Caenorhabditis elegans: one gene and its partners. The protein of the gene in region 3 interacts with the protein of the main gene of each other region in a biochemical or structural test. Each region holds a gene or a part of one and is shown on either strand. Other genes may lie near its edges.

The links. The genes of interacting proteins can lie anywhere in the genome.
Region 1: of the proteins of sgk-1 (region 3) and skn-1, one has a biochemical effect on the other in vitro, tested with the Caenorhabditis elegans proteins (one study listed by BioGRID).
Region 2: of the proteins of sgk-1 (region 3) and daf-16, one has a biochemical effect on the other in vitro, tested with the Caenorhabditis elegans proteins (2 studies listed by BioGRID).

What each region holds. Positions count from the first base shown.
Region 1 is NC_003282.8:5,657,340-5,661,934, reverse strand, and holds the start of skn-1 (Protein skinhead-1), read left to right. Parts: upstream 1-1,550; coding exon 1,551-1,679; intron 1,680-4,369; exon of another isoform or gene 4,370-4,519; intron 4,520-4,564; exon of another isoform or gene 4,565-4,595. Other genes in the region: bec-1 (Beclin homolog), read left to right, coding at 410-595. UniProt on the Caenorhabditis elegans protein: Transcription factor. Required to specify the fate of ventral blastomeres in the early embryo, and postembryonically for the development of the intestine. Directly regulates expression of zygotically expressed med-1 and med-2 to direct mesendoderm development.
Region 2 is NC_003279.8:10,748,702-10,753,542, forward strand, and holds the start of daf-16 (Forkhead box protein O), read left to right. Parts: upstream 1-1,796; coding exon 1,797-1,808; intron 1,809-1,861; exon of another isoform or gene 1,862-1,870; coding exon 1,871-1,954; exon of another isoform or gene 1,955-2,004; intron 2,005-2,192; coding exon 2,193-2,283; intron 2,284-2,336; coding exon 2,337-2,487; intron 2,488-3,717; exon of another isoform or gene 3,718-3,856; intron 3,857-4,364; exon of another isoform or gene 4,365-4,511; intron 4,512-4,841. UniProt on the Caenorhabditis elegans protein: Forkhead-type transcription factor. Binds to the promoters of genes that contain the daf-16/FOXO binding element (DBE), TTGTTTAC, in their regulatory region.
Region 3 is NC_003284.9:16,256,046-16,264,079, forward strand, and holds the start of sgk-1 (Serine/threonine-protein kinase sgk-1), read right to left. Parts: upstream 6,007-8,034; coding exon 5,985-6,006; intron 4,084-5,984; coding exon 4,016-4,083; intron 3,268-4,015; coding exon 3,193-3,267; intron 3,146-3,192; coding exon 3,009-3,145; intron 2,952-3,008; coding exon 2,868-2,951; intron 2,235-2,867; coding exon 2,093-2,234; intron 2,039-2,092; coding exon 1,907-2,038; intron 1,822-1,906; coding exon 1,709-1,821; intron 1,632-1,708; coding exon 1,412-1,631; intron 993-1,411; coding exon 686-992; intron 1-685. Other genes in the region: mua-6 (Intermediate filament protein ifa-2), read right to left, coding at 6,436-6,486, 6,544-6,660, 7,605-7,766, 7,945-8,034. UniProt on the Caenorhabditis elegans protein: Acts downstream of PI3 kinase age-1 and kinase pdk-1 in the daf-2/insulin receptor-like transduction pathway. Essential role in regulating development, stress response, and longevity.

The DNA.
Region 1 (4,595 bases), on a different chromosome or scaffold from region 3:
ATCGTGCACCTTTAAGGCCTACTGTAGTTCCCAACTCCCATTTTTCAACCGATTTACGTTAAAAAGGTATAAAACCAACCCAAATCTGAAAGAAACTAGTGAAAAAGAGTGATTTTTCCTAGTTTTCCGCCCGTTTCTACGAAATTTGGCGTGTTTTTACATGTTTTTTAATAAATTTTATTTAAATAATTGGGTGAACACTTGAGGAGTTGGGAAATACCGTAGGCCTTAAAGGCGCACGATCCCTTATGAGTTTGAGTAAATCGGGTTTTTTAAAGTATTTTTGGAGCAAAACTGTAAAATTTCACATCTCGTTAAGAATGGATTTACAATATTCATTTTCCGGTATAAAGATCGATTTTATAATTTTTTGGTTTCAGAAACACCCTAATTTTTATACATTTTTCAGGATCGAAACAAAAATTTCAAACCACCATATCAAATTCATGCTGATTCACTGGTTGACAATGGTGTCAAATACAATGCAGTTATGACACTCAACACAGATGTTCGATGGACTCGTGCAATGGCTCTAATGCTCACAGATCTCAAAGCTGCGTGTGCTCAATGCGATGCTCTCAGATCGCCTATTTAGTGATTTCACGGGATCAAATGTAGAATAACATTTTCAACGCTAGAAATTTTTTTTTCAATTTCTCAGGGACGCTTCTTTAAAAAATATTCAATTTTCATTGTGATTTCTAGTTTTTTTTTTCAAATTTTCTGCTGGAATTCTGCCTTTTCCCCAAACTTGTACCATATGTAAATATATTAAAAGTAAAGATTTTTATTGCAGTCTTGTGGAGGAAATTTTGTTATTTTTTGTTGATTGGTTTTGAAACCAATTCTGTTATCTAAAATTTGAATTTTTCCTAATTTATTTTCTCTTTCTTGTTGCTTTACTTGGTTTAATGATTATTAAAATTTTCTGAAACTGTGAAATCAAGTTCCTACCACTAAACTTATTTTAATCTGATTTTACTAATATTGCCTCAAAATTTTCGAAAAATGTATAACTGAAAATATCGAAAAATAAGGTCCAAATTTTGCTAAATTCTGGATTTTTTTAAAGCTAAAACACCGTTTTTTTTTTATTTTCGACCAAAATGTGTGGAAAATTTGAATGTTTTTTCGATTTTTCCAGTCATAAACGTTTTTGAAATTATTTAAATAAATATCACTATGAAATTCGGCACTTTTGTGCCAGATTTAGTTTTTTTTAAGCGAAAACCTCCCACAAACTATATTCCTCCTTTAATTAAATTTGAAAAAAAATACTGTAGGTTTTTGTAGACAATACAATTCCCCAAAAACGAAGTTTCTAGTTTTTTCTAGAATAGTTCTTGTAATTCCGAAAATTCCCGTTTTCTGAATTCTAGAAAAAAAATTGTTGTAACTCAAAATATTGCAGAGAAGGCCTCGTGTCGTCGTTCACGCGTTTCTCCTCCGTCGATCGGACTCTGGTCACTCAGCCGCGAGTCCGTGTCCGAATATTGTTGAGAGAAGTGTTCCACTCATTCTCACAGGATCTATCATAATCCAGTCAGTCGATGGGCGGTTCATCACGCCGTCAGCGAAGTACGTCGGCGACGAGACGAGACGATAAACGAAGACGAAGACAGTGCTTCTCTTCGGTAGCCGACGACGAAGAAGAGACGACGTCAATTTATGGAGTGTCGGTTAGTTTTTTTTTTGTTGGTTTTATCAAGTAAAAAGACCTGAAGAATATCATCATTTCACGGGAGAGCATGACTTTTCGTATCACTTTTCCAGTCAACTCTTGCAATTCTGATTCAATATTACTTGCATTTACAATTTTTGTTTTCTTCATGTTCTAAATCCAACTTTAACTAAGATTTGTAGATTTTTTCCCAAGATTTTTGGCTCAAAATTCCAGCTTTAACCTTAAACATGGCTTTTCTCTTCACGGATTACTTAATTTCTTCAGAAACAAGAAAAAAAACTAAAAGAATAACCAAGATCTGAGTGGAGCCTATTTTTAGCTTTTTTAAGCTTTTTCATCATCTACCTATATATTATTCTTGGAAGTTTCTATTAATTCGAGTAGACTAAAATAGGGAAAATACACCACAATTGAGAGTCGAGTTTTCAAAAATATGATTTTTCAAGTTCAAATTCAAACATTTTTTCTTATTTACACCCGGTTATAGATCATTTCTCAAAGACCGCGTAACATATTTACTTTGAACAGCTTTTCCTTCCCAAACTCCATATCAGACCACCTTCTCCTCTTATCACTTCAGTCACATCACTCTCGTTATCTAGGTCTCCCGCATTGTTACGTGTTAATCCCAACTATCTCATGTAGAATGTCACAGTTGCCTCGTTGTCTGAAACTATTCACGGCTCATTCTGTCTCTCTCTCTCTCTCTCTGTTGCAATAATGATGCCGGAACGACTATGTTCGTAAATGCCAGAGGACGAAGTCGAAGTCCTCTGAAAAGTAGAATTTCAAAAATTCAAGAAAACAATGGAAAGCGTGATCTTTGTATTTCAGAGCCGCTAAGAAGACCGTTCCCTTCCGAAATCCTTCTTCCGCCAGATCATCAGATTTTCAGATATTTTCCAATCTCTTCAATCTTAAACTTAGCCTAAAATATTACTGTCTGTACATTGTCCTCCATATATGTATATTATACAAACATCTTGCCGGAGTCGCTCCAAAATCGCAAACCCCCGATTGCCTATATGCCAGCTTGATAGCAGCATTACCATCCTGATAGACACCCCACGAGGCTCTTGATTTTTCGAACTTTTTCTGCTACGCCGACAGCGACTATCAACAACGGTTTTCCACCACCACGTACAATGTTTGATCAAACCGTTTGATTAAATTGACGCTCTCGGTGCAAGATGATATCATCTGGAAATGAGACGTTTAAAACCGAAAAAATGACTTGAATCATATCTGTGGTCTGATTGTGAATGGGTGCGGTTGACATGGTTAGTTGGGTTTTTGCACGCAATGGATCAAGGAATTGGTATAAGTTGAAATTCGGATCACAGCTTTCGATTTGTAAAAATTGAAAGTATGATTATTTATTGACAGAATATGAGTAGAAGCTTTCTTCTACTATATTCTAATTGAATTGCAATGTATTTGACATGCTGAACCTATTCGTTTTCACGGTTGAGGTCAAGAAATATAATTCTGAACATCACGTTCTACGAGAATTCATAAACAGCCAAATATGATGTCAAACTCACAGTACACTCAAACAGAAAGATTGAGTTCTTTGAGTTCCGACGGAACTACTATATTCTAAATTTCGCGATTTTTGATCATAATATCCTGAAATAAACAGGATATGTTCTGATTAATTGAGATTTTCAACCAAATATCAGACTATTATGCGCTTGTTTTTATTTTTGTTGTAGTAATAATAAAAATAAAAACACGTGGTTTGTAGCAGGTTTAGTATCATAATTATTTTTAGCCAAGATTTCGAAGAATTCTGATCACATATCAACAGGGAAGAAGGTGTGTGGATAATTCAATTTTCCCATGCATGTCTGACGCAGGTGGTTTGAATAATTCAGTTGTAGCTCAATTGTAGATGTATCCGATTTCCGTGTGCACCCAAACCTCTCTTTTTTAGAATATCGAAAATCTTTTCTTTTTCTCGTCAAGTGATATCTTTTGCATCTCTCATATATTTCTTATCAGTCTTGGCACAAACTTCAAACTGATATGCTTTATTTTTGAATTTTTGGTTCCTTTCCAAAAAAAAACTTGGATTTTTGGAAACGTGAAAACCAGCACGCATTTTGAAATTAGGCGTTGAGAAGAAATTAAATCAAAACAAATTTTTTATTCTCAGCAGTACCACCAAGCATTAAGTTTATTGAATAATTGTTTTAAACTGTTCTCTCGGTTTCGTGAGTTTCAGTTTCAATCGTTTTTCAAAGTATTCTGTACTAGACTTGTAACTTTTTTCGAAAAATATATCAACTTTTTGAATCAAAAATTAATGTTAAAATGTAGGAAAATGCTCGTTCGGTTTGAAAAAAAAATTTTTTTTGAAAACTTTTTAAAAGACGGCACAATTGAAAGTCTTTTTCAAACTTTTCCAACAAAAATACATATCATTTTCAGATTGAGCGAGCATTTTCCTACATTTTTATATTCATTTTTGTACGTTTGCCGAAATATTTTTCCGCACAGTCCTGCTCTGTACTACTTCTGTGTGGATTCATCAGAATTTAAGGGCAACGTGCTATGAAAAATTGCATCAACATCCACACACACATTCTCCAGATCTTCGGTTTTTCACCTCCCACCGTCTACTACCTGCCTGCAACAATTCGGTCGCACTCGCCCTCTCGCTACAACATTCACCTGCCGTTGTGTAGTCGTTTTGTAGTCGTCGTCTTTGGTGCAAGCGGCGAGCGACAATGCTGGTCTTATCAGCTTTCGTTGACTTCGTTACGGCCCCCACAGCAGCCTTCTCTTCTAGTTTTTCATTTAATTGGTCAATTTTCTGCGCACGTTAATTTACCGCGCACCAAGATTTCGGATCAAAAAGTTGCGATTTTCGATCTCCACAAGTCTGTGTCTATCTGTGTTCAGGCAA
Region 2 (4,841 bases), on a different chromosome or scaffold from region 3:
TCTGTCTAGTGTACTTTAACACACAATTCAGTAAGTCTTTTCCTCTTCTTCTCCTGTGCCCGGAGAAGAAGAAAAAGACAGGTGGGTTTTGATGATGATCCACGAAAATAACCGTCAGATGATTATGTAAGAGACACTTTTTGATCGTTTTCAATTGAAAATAGAACGTAGCAAATTGAAAATAGTTTTCGTCGTGTTTTTTGAAAAGTTATTTTTTTGTGAAAAACATGAGTGTTTTCTATGTTTTGCATGTTTTCTGCTCTTTTTCAGTTATTTACAAAATGCAGCAAAAGATTGTTTAGAAAGATTGAAAAGACTTAGCGCGTATAGTTTGATCTATTGGTGGGGGTGGAGTCAGTGCATCTAATTTTACGCGCAATTTTATTATGAAAAAAAAAAAAAAAGAAAAAAAAGAAAAAAAAATTTCTTTGAAAAGCAAAAAAATTGCCAAAAATTGGAGATTAGAAAACTTTTAAAAAAAATCGGCAACTCTATTACGGGAACACAAACTTGTGAGAATGCGTATTTCACAACATATTTGACGCGCAGAATGTCTCGTAGCGAAAACTTGACTACTCTAACGCTTATGTCGATTTACGTGCTCGATGTTCGAAATCCTTTGATTTAATAAAATTCATCTCGAAGATCGAGCCCGTAAATCGACACAAGCGCTACAGTAGTCATGTTTTCGCTACGAGATATTTTGCGCGTAAAATATGTTTTGCAATACGCATTCTAAAAACTTTGTGTTCCCGTAATAACCAAAGTGCTTCGAAGTTTTACGAGAAAAATCCAATTTTTTGGAACTATTGTTAACGACATGTTTAGAAAAAGGTGTTTCTTCAAAAAAAAAGAAGGAAAATTGACAGAATTTCAAGGAAATTTACAAAAAAAAATCGAATTTTAATTACATTTCTGCTATATTTATGAAAAAAATTCGTAAGAAACTGTTATTTTTCCTCAAAAAAAAAGAAAAAAAAAACCAAAATTAATATTATATACTTTTAGAAAAATATTTTTTTTTTCGAAAAAATATAATATATTCTCCAAAGTTTTTCCAGCTCAAAGAAATTTTCGCCTTTCTTTAATTAAAAAATTTGAATTTGAAACCTTCATATTTTCTGTACTTTTTCGTAAACTCCGGTGTTTGCACAGTGTAGATTTACGAACTCTGATTTTTTTTTCTTGAAATCATTTTTTTACCAAAATCTTCTCTCACGATTTCCTCTCTTTAAAAAACTCATGTTTTATTCCTAATAGTGAGTTCGTTTGGGGCGAGCTTGCTGCTTTTTCGCTTTATATCTTCTTTTTTTCGTTTCCCCTTTTTCTTTTCCGTCTCAAAGTTCATAAAACAGTTTTGCACTTTCTCGTAAACAACTCTCGCATGGGGTCGCTCAGAAGTTGATCTCTGAAACCTCTGTCGCCGGCCGCCAACCAACGAGAAAAAAAAGCATTCCCAATGTCCTCTTTTCTATTTTTTTTTTCTTCATATTATTTCTCAAGGAAAGACATATCGGTTTACTTTTCCATCATTTGACGAGAACATGTGATGGAAAAAATGGTGGAAAAGTGGGCAAAAATGGATTGTGATAAGAAACTTTTTTTTTGCAAAAAAATCTTCCTCTATACACATTTTATGTCAAAATAAGCTTCTTCTCTCTCTCTTTTTATCAGTTCGAGACGTCGGAAATGTTCATTTTTAGTTAAGATTTCAAAATTATCCAAAATAAAAACGTTTCATTTGAAATTAATTTCCTCATTGTAACTTCTATTCAATTTCTATCTGTATTTTAATGATGCAACTCGAGGTTTTTAACATTTTTTGCTTATAATTATGATTCTAAATTGAAAATCAAACTAAAATTTGCAGCAAAAGTCTTCATTACATTGCTCGAAGTGCCGAAATTTTCTGCAAAAATTCTCACAGGACATGCAAGCGTGGAACTGTCGTGAGGTATGGCGCCGCATACGCAAACACCTTGCACACACATCGAGAACTACCGTATACTCGCAGTTTAAATTTCAAATTTTCGAAATTTTTTTCCAATCATTTTTCCCTATTTTTCTTCATTTCGCTGCTAAAAATAGTTGTTTTGAACCCGATTTTGTGCGAAATCGTGGAAGTTTACACAGCTTTTACAGTTGAAAATCAAAAAAGCGCGCTTTTTTCGTCTAATTTGCCCAGTTTTCAGCTCGATTCGCCGCTACCATCTGACATCACACTGCACAATCTCGAACCGGCAAGGCCTGATTCCGGAATGAGTTTTTCCACTGATTTTGACGGTAAATTCGTGATTTAAAGTTGTAAATTCCAATTTTATTTGTTTTTTTTTCAGATGATTTCTTCAATCTCGACCTCCATCAACAAGAGCGTTCGGCTTCTTTTGGCGGAGTAACCCAGTATTCTCAACAATTTCTTCGCGAAAAATGCTCGTTCTCTCCGTATTTCCACACATCTTTAGAGACTGTTGACAGCGGAAGAACTAGGTACGCCAAATTTAAGATTTTTAGGTGGTTTGTGAAGGTTCATAAAAGTCGAATTGCACTAAAAGCATTGTTTCGTGGAAAAAGGACAAACGCTATAAAAGTTGATGATTTTTGCCCTTTTTATCAATTTTTGAAAGAGTTTTGGCTTGTGAACAAGCCTCGGTTTTAAAATTTCAAAATTTCAAAATTTTAAATGTTTAAATTAAAAAAGAACAAAAAAATATATAGAAATATATATATATATGCCGAATGGCCTTGAATTTTTCTCAATTTTAGGTCTCAGCTGACCTTTTACTGTTTCTGATTTTTCAATTCTTGTGGTCGTGTCGCGTCATCTTTTATCTGTCACATTCGCTCTGATTTTTGATCATCGAAATTTCTTTTTTTCGTTACTCTTCCAATTTCTCCATTTTATTTCCGATCGGTTGGCACAATCAAAAGTGATTTCTCTCATTGTTGCTGACCTCGAGATTTGTTTAAGGGAAAACCCTTTGATGTCATCACTGTTTTAGTTGTTTTTTGTTTCTAATCATTTAACACTTTTTCGTCTTTTATAGGCCAACAAGCCTATTGTCAGCTGTTGGTCCACTAAGCACACGGGAAATTCACGTGCATGTGAGGAGGAGAGGCAAATAGAATTTAAAGGGGTTTCCCCGATCTTTTGACTCTTTTCTCTCTTTTTTTTTCTCGCGGAGTTGCAGTTTGCAAACAACTGGTGATTAGGTTTTCTATTTTCTCTTTTCTCTTTTGATTGCTTGGAAATTAGATTTGATGCAAACTTTAATATCATGAGTTTCTGATTCAACTTTTTTAAAGACAGAAATCGTATTTTCGTTCTAAAAATAATTTCTCTCTACAGTAACCCCATTTCTTTTAAAAACCGTCGTCGCCCGTCTCAACAATTACTCACCATTGTGTGCAACATTGTATACGGTGTGACGTTCAGAGGTCGAAAACTGTCACGCGTTTGCTCCCTCACTGTATTGCCAGACAGAGTCTCTCTGTCTCTCTCTCTCTGTTCTGTCACATCAGCTGTTCTTCTCTCTACGGGAAGGAAGCACAAAATGGCAAACATTTGAAAGAAAGGGAGAGAGCAAGTGGTATTTGAGAACGGAAAAGTGCACTTTTTGCACACTGTTGTAGCGGGGTTTTTGATTAGAACAGACGATAGGTCGAAAATCAGAGAACAGAAACGAAGTACCTATTATGGTTCCATTTTAGAAAATTCAAATTTTCGAAATAAGGAGGTTTTTGGCAGAACTGGTAATTCCTGTATGATTTCAAATTTTTTGAATCAAAAATTAAAACAGAAATGTAGGAAAATCATATACCTTTATTAAAAAAGCTTGAAAAGTTTCAGGCAACGCCTGAAAGTCGCTTTTTTTATATTTGGAATTTTTAACTAACTCTACATCTTAAAATTAAGTGTTGATTCTAAATATGGGAATATCATATCGAAAATATTTTTTTTGGCGATCTTGTGCCCCCAAGCCAATTTTTTTTGAATTAAGAGTCTCTACAATATCGACCATTTTCACACAGTACGGTACTTTAATTTAATTGTCATTCCACTCAGCCTTCCTACTATACACGTCCCATTGGATTTCAGTGTCTCGTTGTCTGGATAGACTCGCGTCGAAAAAAAAGGAAAAAAAGTAGTGTGTTCTACTCACGGTCTGTCTGTGATTTTTTTTGCTGCCTCCTCTCTCTGGTGAAAGTGAAAGTGTTTGTTTTGGCCTTTAGTCCTTCTTCCTTCCTACGCTCTGATTTTCAGTGAAATTTGATCGAGACCTCACTTTTTTTTAGTCGACCTGAAAATCTGGTGGCCAAAAATATCAGTTAGATCTAGCTTATCGGAATTACCATTGAGTTATTTGTTCTTTGTACTCTCACGAAATCTTTCCCACTCCATTGCGCTATATAATCAAGCTCCTTTTGACTGTCAACATACTGACAGTCTTTGATCATTTCATCATACATTGCCAGGCGTCTTTATCAATTGCCTGCTGCAAAAGATAAAAGTCAGTCAGACGCGTTGACACCGATTTTTCTTTCTCATGTAAAAAATCAAAAAAGAACAAAAACGGCAAGTGACGTTGTATATTCTGTTTTGAAAATAAATTATTAAAAAAACAGTTTCAAAGGTCAGAGTTCTAGGCGTAAACTAGATGATGTGATAATCTGAAATTACTGTAAAAAGCCCCTCCCACGAAAAATCTTTAGGTTTCTGCTAACTAATAACGCACTTGAACTAGACTCTCTCTTGGTTTTGCACTTTTGTTATTGCCCTCTCTCTGTTTCTCCCCGCACACTCCCGTTTCTTGTTACTCCGATGAAACTCTTGTTATACATTG
Region 3 (8,034 bases):
ATATTTTATTTGGGCTTCTATTAAAATTAGACATTTTAATGAGATCAAAAACCGAAAAAGAAACTAATAAACTTTGCCGAGAAACAAAAGGAATCAAAAGACGTGGGCTTGAAAAATGAGGCTTTTTAAAAAGTTTTGGAAAGTTTGAAAACAGTTTTTAAAAAAATGAAAAAAATGTTTCAAATTTTTTCGCAGTCATTTTCGGTATATTGAGACTGTTCTTTTTGATTTTGAAAAGAAACCGTACAGAAAAAGGAAGTTTTTGAAGAAAAATGAAATTTTTGAAGACCTCTCATTACAAGATTTGGTCTTACTACATATTAGATGTCACTTTGAATAGAGCGTTGAACTAAGATTAGTTACTACAAATTTTTACATTCTTATTGGAACCAACCCTTCTCCCCAACTAGGGCTGGCATATTTGGGGTCCGGTTTTGGAATTTTAAAAAATTTTCAGAAAAAGTAGTTTTCACGGCGGCCGACAATTTCCGAGTTTGGCCACTCACTATACTTAATCATATACATAATTCGATAATGAGTGGCTAAACTCGGAAATTGTCGGCCGCCGTGAAAAACTACCTTCGGAAAATTCTCAAAATTCCAAAACCGGACGCGATGACCGGAAATATGCCAGTTCTATCCCCAACCATCCTTAATTATGCCAATTATTGTACATATATCTTACATGGATCAATTTGAATCTCCACGAACTCCTTTGAAATATTGGATGTATCCATTGCGTTTTTCACTTTCGGAATGAACGGAGCCTTAAGCTCACGATTCAGAAGCTTATCCCAATCAACCGGAAGGAAGAATGGATGATCACGAATGTCACGGAAATCATTGCGATGGCCCAGACGCTTTGAACGGTCTTTTTGCAAGAGCCCGGTGATGAGCTCACTGCATGGCACAGAGATGTTGTGCTTGAGACGAAGTGGCTGGTTGATGATCTTGTCGTACATCTCGTTATGATCTTTTGAGTAGAATGGAGGCTGAAATGATTGCTCTTTTTTGGGGGGGGGGGGAGCAGATTAAGAAAGTTATGTCAGGGAAATAAATCAAATCAGCAATTTTAGCTTGAACTATGTAATATTTTGTGTTCTGTGGTTTTGGGAAAATCACAGAACAAAAAGAAGAAGCAAAAGAAGAAGCAATTTTAAGTTTCTAGTCTGAATTACACATCAGGGCTGTACTAATAGAAAAAATATGGTAAATAGGTTATGTAAAACTTTTAGAGAAGGTCATTGGAACAAAAGTCGGCAGAGTTCTATTGCGCTAAGCTCTACGAAAAGCGGAAGAAAATTGCAGTTGTAACTACTAATTATAAAACTAGTCATCATATTTTTTAATAAACCAGCTATAATATTTCAGATTGTGTATTTCAAGTTTATGCCAACTCGGCAATCCTTACCAATCCAAAAATCATTTCATAGAGAACCGATCCCAAACACCACCAGTCAACAGTCTTGTCGTAAGGCTTTTTCAGAATAATTTCCGGGGCCAAGTACTCCGGCGTCCCACAAAATGTGGAAGTTGTCTTGCTTCCTTGCATATCTTCTTTACAGAGCCCAAAGTCGGTGAGCACCAAGTAACCTTTATCGTCCAACAGAAGGTTTTCAGGCTTCAAATCTCTGGAATGTAAATTTATATTTGCATATTGCCAAACCAATTTAGAGGTTTCTTTTTTTGAAAGCAAGTAAATCGCTACCTGTAGATAATGTTTTTCTCGTGAAGATAACCCAGAGCACATGCAATCTCGGCCGCGTAAAAACGACTTCTCGACTCGGAAAAATGTTTCTCGCGTTGGAGGTGAGAGAAAAGCTGAAATGCCACATTTTGAAAGTTTTATAAGTTTTCTATCGAGTCCATTCTTCCCTATATTAATCTAAACACATGGAATAGGTACCTCTCCTCCGTTCAAGTGATCGAGCACAAAATACAGCTTCTCCTTATTTTGGAACGAAAAGTGAAGTGAAACAAGGAAAGGGTGCTTAAAGTTGTTAATGAGCACATTTCTTTCTGCCATGACGTGTTTCACCTTAAAAACGTATTTGCTACTTATGTTCCAAAAACTTGTAACACTAATCAATACCTCGTTCTTTTTTCTGATATGTTCCTTGGACAGAATTTTCATGGCGTAGATTTTTTTGGTCTCCTTGTGCCTGACTTGGTAAACTCTTCCAAAGCTTCCTTTTCCGATAGTTGTCAGATAATCGAAATCATTGGCGGTGGCTCTGAAAATAAACTGCTAGAGGCAAAAAGTCTTGCAACGTATATATGAAACTCTGGTTTCTAAAATTTCCATAAAAATTATACTGTTGGTCGAAAAATTTTGAGTCGACAAAAATAGGTCAACATGAGATGGGAAAGCCAAAATTTTCGGAAAATAAGCAACACTTCCTATTTTGGAACGAATCAAAAATGGATGTCTTGTTTCAAAGATTGGAAAAATTTCAAAAACTTGGTAACGTAGCTATTTTAAGAGCAGATGAAACAAAATTAGAAGCTCATTGCAAACGTTCGGGGAAAAAAATCAAAAGTATTTAATATAGGTCTCCCATGAGGTCGTCGCGCAAGACGGATGTATGCGAATGTATAATGTTGCGCGGAACCCCGAACGTGTCGGCCGCTTCCAAACAACCATCTCTTCACACTACGTTGCGCACACACCAAGCTACTTATTTCACGACCAAGCTGCGGAACCCCGAACATGTCGGACGCTCCAAATAACTACATTTCGAACTTCATTGCAAACACACGGTGGCGTCGGGGTGAGGTCCGCATTTTGCGCATCACTCAGCTGGGAGCTCTACTTCAATATGTGCAACTTTGGCGATTTACCGCAAATCCTTATGGCCAAAACATACGTTTTCCTCTCACTTGGTCCGAGATCAACATTATTCTCATCATCATCCGGACTTTCGAGATGGAAGAACCGACGGACATCCTCACTGTAATCATTGTAATCAAAGAATTATAAACTATCCAACATAAATTAATCTCATTACCTTCTTAAATTATTATCAACAAGATGCTGACTAATCACAAGGATCCAAACACGTCTTTTCTCGTAGAACTTGCTGTCAGCTTGCAGGAACTTCTTTTTCGGCGCAGTGAAAATTGTAGCCGGGATCATATCCTTTTCCTGAAAGTCAATAAAAAGTTGGAAAATAAAAACTTGAAAAAACTGACAGTTGTAAAAAATCTTTCATATTCTTCAAACGTTTTTTGCATAATTGGGCCATTTCCGATACGGAGCGCGTAAACCTGAAAATATAATTTTATTTGAAAACTCGTCAAGTGTATTTAAAAAAATATTTCTGATTTGGGCATGTGTGACAAATTTGTAATTTTCTATTATAGTTACTCGCCGTGTAGTCTTCAGGAAAAATGTTTTATAATTGAAACTGAACGTGTAAACTTTAAAATATTTCTTGTGGAACACACAAATCTCAAAAGTGAACACGGTAAATCTATAAATTGCAAGTTGCCGGAATTGAAAACGTGCAAATTGCCGATTTGCCGAACTTGCCGGAAAAACGACAATTGCCAAAAATGTTTGGCAAATTGTGGTTTTGCACATTTTTAAAAAATTTCAGAATTTCAATTTTAATCGGAAAAATTGTACGCATGTTCCAACATATATTTTGAAAATTGAACAACTTCTATGTAAATAGCTAAAGAAAACGGGAAAAAGTTTCAAAAAGGGCCAATTTTCATGTGTTTCCGTCTTATAAAAATCCCTCTAGACATTTCCGGCAAACTTGATATCCGGCAGACGGAAAACCGACAATTTGCCAAAAAAGAAAATTTCCGGCAACTCGGCAAACCGGTAAATTGTCGGAATTGAAAATCTCCGGCAAATCGGGAAAACCGGCAATTTGACGATTTGCCGAATTTGTCGACAAAATTTTTTTCCGCCTATCCCTGCATCACATTATACTTTACGGACAAAAAATGAGATAATATTTATTTTTAAAACTCTTTAAATTAATCTTAATGCTCTCTAACTTACCACAGTTTTCTTATCATCTCCTATAATAACATTGCATGTCACCTCATCTTTCCTCACCATTCTCGACTCTGAAATATTCAAAATTAAATTATATTAAAACATTTATCGATATCAATAAAAAAATAAATTAATGAGCATAACTAAAACTCGTCAATAAAAATCGATTGCTATTTCCGGGAAGCAGATCATGACTTTTTCTTCGGCCTTATCAGTCCTTTGAGAGAGTTTCACTACACTTATCAATACTGCATAAGCACTTTTTGACATGAAACTTATGTTGAAAAGAAAATTGGAAAAGGTAGTATGGCTCTGGTTTCTCAACTCCATTAGAGGTAATGAAAGGGTAAAAAACTTCTAGAGAAGGAAAAAAAAATATCATCATCATAATTTCTTCCGGTTGATGCAGAAAGTGACGTCATTATTTGCATTTTGAAAGAATCATAGAAATCATAAAAAGAAGCATGCAAAGTAAATAGATTGTTAAGAGGTATATTTCAAGATGATATAGATACGTTAAAGAAAAAATTTAAACCATTAATAATTTATAAATTAATTTCAAAAATTAGATGAATGAAAATGTCTATTTTTTTATTTTTTCAAGCATAAAAATAATTATTTGAAACTCTCAAAATAGGCACAATGATAAAAAATAATTATTTTAATCCATTGCAAACCTTTTTTGTAGTTCTAATACTACACAAGTAAAACGTAATAAATTGAAAAAACGTATTCAGTTTTGATTTCAGAAAATGAAAGTTCAAATGAAAATTAAGCTGTCAAACAGAAATGCGTTATCAAATCATTACGTTTGACCAGTGGATTATTTTATGTCAGAATTGGAAAATTTGATTTTGAAATCATGAAGACTGAAGTATGTTTCAGAAAGAGTTCATTATATTATAATTTCTTGGAAAACCTAATGCATTGTATTTTCCTGTGAGCATTTATAGGTTTGTTAAAAAACATCTAAATTCATAATGAAAATTCAAAACTAGTAAGTTTATGTTTGAGTTAATGATCTATCTGCATTTTAAAGGTGAAGTAGCGCCAATGGGGATTTTGTCTAAATGCTCTTATTATGATCCAAAACGACAGAATATCATAATAAAAAACTGCAAAAATTTTAGACTTTTCATAATTTCCGGTCAAAGTTTTGGCAAATGGCCAAATTTCGAAAAATATGAGCTTGTGAGGAAATCCGAAGCATGGCCGCATGTTTAGACCCCTACAATGTTTAAATGTGAATAATTAAAACACAGTCACAGTATAAACAATGTAGAAAAACTTTTTTTTTTCGGACGACTTCCAAAATTTTGAGTAAAAACTAAATAATTGTCACTTTTTGAGAGTAAAAAAAAAATTTCAAAAATTTTTTGAATAGTTTTATTTTGATATTCCATTAATTTGAGACCATAGGCGTGGTTTTTGACAATTTCCCCCACTGGCGCTACTCCACATTTAAAGCACATTTTAAAAAAAATTTATGATAACTTCTCACAGGTGTAGTAGCGAAATTTGGATTAATTTTTTAATTGGGTCAAAATGACCCCAAAATATCGAATTTAATTTATTTTTATTTCTGAAAAAAATAAAAAATACAAAAAACTACATTTTTAACTTGTCAACCTATGTTTGTCATAGTTACCCAAAATTGATTTTTATTAAATTTTATTGAATGTTCTGTTTTTCTATGTATTTTTAATGAATATATTTATTGTTATGACTTTTTTCGTTGATTAAGTTGTTTTCAGGAGTAAGAAGTATTTTTTGCACCCATCAACTAATGTTTTCAGACCGCCGCAACTGTGACATGTTGGCAGAAATCTAGGTTTTATCTGGAAGAGCTAGGTTTTCAAAATTTTATCAGCCATTTAAAAAAATTGAGACTTTTAAGACATTTCAGATTTTGAATTTCTTAAAACAAATACAAACATTTCACAGAACCAGCCAGGTTTAATCTTTGACTCACCATTATAATACATGCTGCCCATTGTCACAGTAATGCTCTCGTATTTAGAATAACCGCCACCAGGTCGAATGTGGGTTTTCGATGTATCTTGTCTCGTGTTAACTGATTAGAATCGCTGGGTTGGACCTTGTCTTCTTATCACGGCTCACCGAGCCATTCGTCTGACTTTCTTATTTGCTCTTGATCACGTTATCACCTTTAATATTTCCCCACCTTACTTTTCCTATCAATGTTTCAAATGAAAAATGAACATTCCATATGGCAATTTTTTGATCTGTATAAAGTATTTATTGTTGAAAATGAGTAAGTTACCGGAGGAAAAAGAAACAAAAAAGTGAAAAAGTATATAGCAAACGGAAAAAATGCAAACAGGCAGGCAGCAAAGAGTTGGGGTTCAGATTTCTGGTACAAAGAGAAGAAAACAGTAAATAGCTCAAGCAAAAAGCTAGATTTAGGAAGATGTCGTTTGTTGGCTTTGACGTTGGATGTGTGTCGCGCGCTCCTGCAAAGAAAAAAATAACATTTTATTCTGCACGTAAATTTTTGGGGGTTGAATTACCTCTCCCTTATTGTTGTAAAGGATTGTTTGAACGTTGGCGCCAACACCGAATGTTTCGTCACCTTCGAAAATGAGCACTTCTGGAGGATTGGCGATTCCTTGTCCGCGGGCGAAGATCTGGAAATGTAGAAATTTGTCTTTACAGTGGTTTTTTTAATGTTAAAACACCTCACTTGAATTTCTTTTTTTTTTATGAAAAATGTTTTGTATGAAATTGATTGAAGGTGGAGTAGCGCCAGTCGGGAAATTGTTAAAAACCACTCCTTTGGTCCAAAAATGACCAAACATCTTGATAAAACTTTTCAAAAAAAATTTTTAAATTTTTTATTTACTGTCAAAAAGTGGCAATTACTCAGTTTTTGCCACTCATAATTTTGGAAGTCGATCAAAAAAAAAATTTTTTTTCGACATTTTTTATGTTTTAATTTTGTTTGTATTAAAACATTGTAGGGGTCGAAACATGCGACATTTCTTTGAATTTCCTCAAAAGCTAGTATTTTAAAATTTTTTGGGAATTTGCCAAAACTTTGACCGGAAATTATGAAAAATCTAAAAAAAATTTTGGAGTGTTTTATTATGATATTCGGTTGTTTTGGATCATTATAAGTGCATTTAGACAAAATCCCCACTGGCGCTACTCCACCTTTTAAATAAATAATTGCTTCTTTCAAATTCATTTCTTATTCAAACCTTATTTGAAAACATTTTTTTTCAAAGCTGACCTAAATAATCTCACATCTCATCTGTCCCTTTTATTGATTTCTGTGAACAACGTTTGTCTTCACAGTTTCCATCAATTTGTTTATCACTTTTTATTCCTTCTTTTTCTCCTACATACATCCCCAATCTTTCTTTTTCGAAGCAAAGTTACCCCCCCTTTAGTCATTACGGACGGATGACCTTGCCACACCCAAACGCAATCGCGCATTAGATTATCAATTCGACACACACACACAGAGACAACAACACATTTCATTCTGAGACACCAATTTGAAATGTTTTATACGCGACAGGTCCTGGGTAGCTAGGCTTGTTTCTGAAAGAAGTAGAAATTCGCAAACCTTGACAGATTGGAATGGGTGGAGGATGTAGTCGGATGGGAAGGTGAAGACGATCTCGCGTTTTCCGTCGATCTTTCTCTTAAGCTTCCAGTCTCCGAGTGGCTCTTCTTTGGCTCTGTGTGTGTTTTCCAAAATGACAAATTTGCCTTCTGGGGAGGTTTCCTGAAAAGAAATTATCATTATTGAGTATGTACTAAGTGATAAATTGATTATTTTTATGTCGGAATGATATTATTAGTGACTACAGTCAATGGCCATTGGAAGTTTTAAATTTTTGAACGTCAAAGCTTTATTTTAGCGAAAAAGCAATTTTCAAAAAACTTGAAAATAAATCCCTCACCTTGATCGCCACATTTCCTTTAGCTGAACGTTGATAAGATGTTCTGCTGGAGTGTTCTCCTTTGACTACGCGCATCGTTTCGGTGTCAGC